Daphnia pulex: one gene and its partner. The protein of the gene in region 2 purifies or fractionates together with the protein of the main gene of each other region. This does not show direct contact. Links are inferred from orthologs where the notes say so. Each region holds a gene or a part of one and is shown on either strand. Other genes may lie near its edges. The genes, in order: flotillin-2-like and ER membrane protein complex subunit 5-like.

What was found.
Region 1: the proteins of ER membrane protein complex subunit 5-like (region 2) and flotillin-2-like purify together in Homo sapiens (affinity purification with mass spectrometry; 3 studies listed by BioGRID and IntAct, with this or other methods). This does not show direct contact. The link is inferred for Daphnia pulex from reciprocal best matches to the Homo sapiens genes MMGT1 and FLOT2.

Annotation. Positions count from the first base shown.
Region 1 is NC_060025.1:1,483,933-1,487,760, reverse strand, and holds part of flotillin-2-like, read left to right. Parts: intron 1-2,876; coding exon 2,877-2,971; intron 2,972-3,388; coding exon 3,389-3,610; intron 3,611-3,828. UniProt on the Homo sapiens protein: May act as a scaffolding protein within caveolar membranes, functionally participating in formation of caveolae or caveolae-like vesicles. May be involved in epidermal cell adhesion and epidermal structure and function.
Region 2 is NC_060023.1:1,096,154-1,098,979, forward strand, and holds ER membrane protein complex subunit 5-like, read right to left. Parts: upstream 1,401-2,826; 5' UTR 1,319-1,400; coding exon 1,240-1,318; intron 1,178-1,239; coding exon 1,125-1,177; intron 1,062-1,124; coding exon 958-1,061; intron 899-957; coding exon 778-898; 3' UTR 690-777; downstream 1-689. Other genes in the region: uncharacterized protein LOC124197044, read left to right, coding at 1,765-1,807, 1,878-1,915, 1,978-2,323, 2,392-2,826. UniProt on the Homo sapiens protein: Part of the endoplasmic reticulum membrane protein complex (EMC) that enables the energy-independent insertion into endoplasmic reticulum membranes of newly synthesized membrane proteins.

The DNA of each region.
Region 1 (3,828 bases), on a different chromosome or scaffold from region 2:
TTTCGAGAGAAAAAAAATATTGACCACGTCATTTACTTTTTTTTCATCTGTTCCGTCTTCCATGGGTGGCCGGATGCGGATCGCACCGTTCCTTTTTTTAAAAAATTTTTATTTAACCACCAGCCCAAAAGAAGAAGCTAAGAAGTCGAGTGTGGAGTTGCTGGACTGGAACGGAACTCCAAAACTTGTTCTTTTTTTTTAATTTCGCCCGGCAATGACGATGCGTTAACTTGTTTGACGTTAATCGTCCGAGAAGGGAAACTGAAACAGATTTCAAATGGAATAATCATCTTTGAATTTTTTTACTTTTTTCAAATTATTTTTTTCCGAAAAGATGGTGGACGTGTAGAATTTTATTTTTGAATTTTGGAAAAGTCATTCAACCTGAATCGTCGTAACATTTTCCCACCACCACCACCGGCTGCTGCCACCGTATGAATCAGTCGGGCGTCAGAGGGTACATGGCGTAATTATTGTCAAACCCTCCAGGTTCTTTCCTTTTCGCCCCTACTACTCCGCCCACCGGTCTCACCGTACAAGGAAATGATTCGTAATGTCTAGAGTGAGAATGATGTAAGAATCATCGCCTCAATTTTTTTTGAAGTACAAGAAAAAGAGTAGACGGATAATTCCAACAGGAGAAGTGAAGACTTTCTCCAACTGGAAATAATTTGAAATTCAAACTGCCGAGGCAATAGACCGTGTCGTGTCGTATAGTCCCGCTCGTATCGTGTCCAACTGGTTTTTCCTCTTCTTTCCCCTGTGTTGCGTGTCTAGTAAAAATTCCCCATCTCTTTTCTCAAAGTATTTCAGATATTTATTATCTCCGATTCGATTTGTGTAGTCGATAGATTTTTTAAAAAAAGGGGAGGAGGACGACAAGGAGAAAAGATTCTAGTCGTCAGATTCGCTCTGATTCTATTAGCAGAAAACTTTTCACTACGCGAAAGTTGTCGAATCGTAAACTGTCGGCATTCAAATTTGCCGCCCTTGTTTTTCGATTCATTTTTTGCAATTTTTTAAATTTAGCGCCATTGAATTCAGCGCGGGAAAATTTGAAAAGTCGATCGGCCGATTGAAAAGTTGACGGATGTCAAACGAACAATAAAAGTGGCCAACACCCGTAGATTTTCGGGACCGTTTCCACCGGTGGAAATGCGGAGGAGCGTCTTTCTTGTGCCTTGACCGCAATTCTACGGTGGGAGAGAGTCTACCAGTCGATGTAGACATGACGCAAAGTCTTTGAAATAACCAACGTTGTCGTTCGTTTCTTTCCCCGACGAATTATCCCGTTGTTGTTTGAATAGAAGAAGAAGAAGAATCAACACTTTCACGATCTGAAAAATTCCGTTTTTCACGCGGATGACGAAACACGGTGGCGTCTGTCAACCGCTCGTAGACCAGGGATGCGCACGTGACTCCCGGCATGCACGCCAAAAGACCGACCCATTTTTATTCGTGATTTTTATTTACTGTACTTTAATGTATTTGGGTGTTTTAGCTGTGCCTTTCGCCCATTCCATCGCGGTGGGGGTCCGCCGCTCGCTCTCAACTTCTCCGAAAGCCACAAAGTTATTTCTGTCTAGCAAAAAAATAAAAAGAGAATCGAACGTCTTATCTCTTTCAAAACGATATTAAAGCCCCACCCTATTTTTTTCGGTGGAAACTATTCAGAAGAAGACAAAAAAATACACCTGGAATGTAGAGTAAAATAAAAAAAGTCAGAATTTGAAAATCAATTTGAAAAAGGAAAGGAGAAAATCAGAATAGAGAGCGAAGGGAAAGGTGTCAAACAAACGAAAAAAAAGATTCCATTTCCAATCTGCCAAAGGCTCACCAACAAACATTTTTCGCACTGGCCAGACCAACGGTAAAGAAAGGAAAATAAACCTTCCGGGGCTCTTTGGGAGTGGACAAATAATAGAGAGAAATATATAAATCTTATCGGTTGCTGTACATGTACCGTTGTGTTCCTAATACTACTACACATGTCTAGTAGTAGAGAGAGAGCAGCAGCACCCAAAAATACGTCTATACAGAGATGGATGGATGGCAACAATCCGCAACCCATCCGCCCCAATTGATCATCATCAAGAAACCAACCAGAGAAGACCAACCAGAGCGCAGAAAAATTGAGAAAAGATGAAAGAAATAAGATTTTTTTGTCTTTGGGGTTTTTCGACGATTGTCTTTGCCACCAGAACAAGGAGGCTATGCCACCCACCGACCAACCTACCACCACACAACAGGTGGTACCAAAAAAAGGAATATGGTGGATGTGTGGCAGATGCAGAGCGCAGAGCTACTAACAAATTTTTTATTTTCTGACCGTCGGATACGCGCGCAATGTTCCACGACGGGATTTTGTTTAAATGCTCAGCTCTCCAAAGTCTATCCGGCGCTCCTCGATGTTGTGTTGTTCTTATACTGTTGTTTGGTGGTTGTTCCAGTCGTTGCCGGCCACTTTCACGTTGTTAACATCCAAGGACGCGCCCCCGAAAATGAAGAGAGAAAAAAGAGAGACACGAGTGGGGAGAAACATCACGGGCCACGCAATCGAATAATTTCGACGGAAAATTATTTTCCCCCCGCGATGGAGAGAAAACTTTCTCTTTTTTGGCTTATTCTGGATATTGGTGGAGGATTTTGTGTAGATTTGATGAAGGCGCGAAAAAATCTGTTTCAAATGGGAAAACTAGGTCGTGTGTTGTTTGTCTTTTTGATTGAATCGACCGTGGCGAATTTCTTAGTTTGCATTTGCTAATTTTTGGAAAGTTGCCGGGTGATTTTGTTTTAATTGCTGATAATTTCCCTTGATGTTTTATATTTAATTTTCATTCGACTTAATTTTGAATTAAATTGAATAATTATTACAGGCGGCTGCTGTGGTGCCAGTACTAAGACGACCATCGTCGGCGGATGGGCGTGGGCCTGGTGGCTCGTAACGGACGTCCAGCGCATGTCACTCGAGGTAAAACACAAAAATGTTATTTTATTTTCCATTTGGCGCTTCAGCTCAAACAGATAAAATAAATAATTGGCTCCTTCGTGGAAAACATTCGAGTCAAGGGCGCCATTTCCGACAAAATTCAAAAATAAAAACTTTCTCCAAATTTTTTTTGGTAGTTTTTTAGTTTTATTTGTTTCACAATGACGTCACAATTGAAATCCGTTTAGACACCCAAGAAATTGGTGTTGCGGTTTCCGTTATCCGGCGACTTCCGAAGCGGATGAGACGGGAGAGTCTATTGATTCACTTTTTTGTTGTTTTTGTTTTGAAATTACATTTTATTTTATTATTTTTTTCCCAGGCTCCTTATTTATTAAATGGTGAGAAGATAATAATCACCGACTTCCGTTTGGTTGTTTTCTATTTGCTCCTATTCAGGTGATGACGTTGAATCCAATGTGCGAGCACGTCGAGACGGCCCAGGGAGTGCCGCTGACGGTCACCGGAGTGGCCCAGTGCAAGATCATGACGGACAAGGAGCTACTGCGGACGGCCTCTGAGCAATTTCTCGGCAAAACTTCCCAAGAAGTCCAGCTAACGATCCTTCAAACCCTCGAAGGCCACCTGCGCGCCATCCTAGGCACTCTCTCCGTCGAAGAGGTGCATAGTTGTTGTTGCTCTTTTCAAGGTTTCCCGTCTGGTTTGTTTTCTTTTCAAATTCCCGCCGAATTGGCCGTTTAAACCTCCCGCTGAGAGTCCACCGAAAATGTAGAGGGGAAAATGGACATGTCCGTCTGAATAAAGAAAAAAGAAATGCCCAGGGAAAACCGCAAAATCCAGTAATAACGGTGTCTGTTGTTGTTGCTGCAGTCAACTTT
Region 2 (2,826 bases):
TTTGTTCACATGTGATTGAAAACTGGAAACAACCCACTTACACTTTAGCCAGGGGAACAAAGAAAGAACTTTGTGGAAAGAAAGAAAACACACATTCGCTCATAAAAAACGTATACTTTTAATGACTGGCAAATGAAATACTATGATGTATTCAAACTAACGTGTTGTGGTTCGAATGGGGATCGGAACACTGCAACAATTCTGCTATTTTGTATCTACTGCACGAGGAAATCTACTTCACACTACATGCGCGTGTGAATCCAATTACTCTTGAGAGAGCCAATGCCTAGGGAATTTATAAATAGGTTCAGTGATTCGACGGCATCCCTATCGTTTAAACACAGGCTGAAAGACAAGGGCCTCTTGTAATTTCATTTATAGTACCGAGTACCGACAATTCTGAAACTGCCCTTTCGGACTCGGTCATGACATTGGATCACGTGATCAAATCATGTCGTCTGAATCAAAATGCCAACGCTGTCATATTTTGGCTAAATTCCAAATGGTCGCTTTTCCTCTTTTTCTTTTACCTTTTTGATTTTTCTTACCGTTTCCCGTTTCTTTCTTGGTTTTTTTTCTTGCATATTTATAAACATGAAACGACCGGTTCCGTTTGGCATCATATCAATTTTCAAACAACTGTGCTAAAGATAAATAAATAAAAATGAAATAAAATAAAATCTTAAATATTAGATGTCAAAACATTTCAGAAGGAATGTTAAAATTTATTAACACACACACACACACACACAAGACTAAATGAGTTGATTGAATAGTTTAATTGGCTTCTAATGCCCCTTTTCCAGTGCTAGAACGTGAAAGCACAATAGGATTGAAAATATGTCCCCTGTGATTAAAAGTGTAGAAGGATGGCCGATTATTCAGATTTTTCCAAGTCCTGTAATAGAAAAACATATAATCATAACAATTTTCAAAGATTGGCTATAATTGGCATACTTTTTCTGTAGGTCTATATTGGATCGGATCTCCTTAAATTCACCAGCTATCGTAGTTACTCCAAAAACAGTGAGTAATAAGCTAAATATTGTTTGAAGAACAATCTGTGAAACAATACAATTAACTGTAAAAATCTTCAGCAATGCAAGCTTTTATATGTAACTCACATCTGCGGGGAGCGACGTAAACTCTTGCTCAGTTAGCCGGAGGTATGATCGATCTGTCAAAGGAATAATATATTTTTCTGCGGTTCCCTCCAATGTTATCTATATACAAACTTACGTTGAGCTGCCGAATAAGCAGCGTGAAAAAGCAATACCATTCCCAAAATAAAGATATATTTATTCATTGAGCTTGACATTTCTCGGTCGATTTAGGGGATTCAATCAAATTACCAATTATCACCATTATACGAATCGTCTGCTACACTCTCAAACCCTTGAACAGCGCAGAGCTGCACGACTCTCTTGCAGCTCTAGAGAACTTCGAAAATTTGAAAATAACAAATTTGCAAAGTAAAATAGATTAAAGTAACAGTTTTTTATTTCAATTAAATATAATTTCACATTTAAAAATATTTTCAAACATTTTATTAAAAATATGTAAATAAGTGATACCTACAACTCTGTTGCAAAAAATAGCCTACAGGCTAATACCGTTTCAGGAGCAAACTAAAAAAGAAAAAACGAGTTATGAAGATGACTTTGTGAGCGATACACACGTTATAGGGTCGACAAATCGTTGCCACACAAGTGTCTCCAAAGCAAGCACATTTTTTATAAGTAGTCTTTTCTTCATCTTTTAGAAATGGAGGTGCTACAAGACGCAAATTACGAGTCGATGTCTCTTGGTAAAATGTCCATCGTTTAATCCACGTGTACTTGTTTTTGTTACTAACCTTGGGTATCCATTTCTTATAGATGATGTCATCAGGGATATGAGAGCTAAGAAAACCCTGGTAAGCATAAATTCATGAAACCATTGAAGCAGTGGAGTGTTAACTTTCAATGACCATTCTAGGAAGAAGGACATGTTGAAGATAACTCACCCTTCCTGAGACGGCAGACCAATTTTCAATTTAACAGAAGACCATTAAGAACAGCAATCCAACCAAAGAATTACAACAGGAGTAATTATTTAAATCATATGGCCAAAAAGCGGCTTGTTCAGGCACGCAAAACTCTGGATCTCAGACAAAGACTCATTACTATCAGAGCCAATAAAGCAGGGCTGGATTTAAGATGGAAAATTGTTGCAAACATGATTTTCAAATTAAGACAGCAAGCTAAGTTATCTCAGTCTGGGCCAAGATTTCATCAATTTCCTCAATTGGAAAACTCATGTGGCCCCAGAGCTAGTCCATTTGGTAAATGAATAACAAATTTGCAATTCTTCAGTTGTTTACTTTTCTAATGACATTGCTTCTTATTTCAGGACAGTGTAATGGGATGGTTTCTCAACCTAAAGTGAGCAGATCTACACTGTCTCAAATTGAAAAGCTTGTTGGCAAACTTCCCTCTTGGATGAAGCCTAATACTGCTGCAGTGATTCAAAGAGGACCTACATTACCTCACAGCTACCATAAAGCTTCACCATCTGGTGTTTTCCCAATGTCCCCAGTTCCCAGGGTTTTCTCTCCACCAAAGTTTAGCCATGAACTATCTATGCAACCAAACTGTTTTGCAGCTCCTCACGCGCCTTCATGCTGTCAAGCATCACACAATGTGCCAAATCACTATCAATGTGATATTCCACGCGGAATGCCCCCGCTTGCCTGCGAGATTCCTCCCCCTGCTAACGGAATGCCTCCGCTGGCTTACGAGCCCTCACCAAGGACCAGATTACCCGCTCCAGGAATGGTTGCTCGCC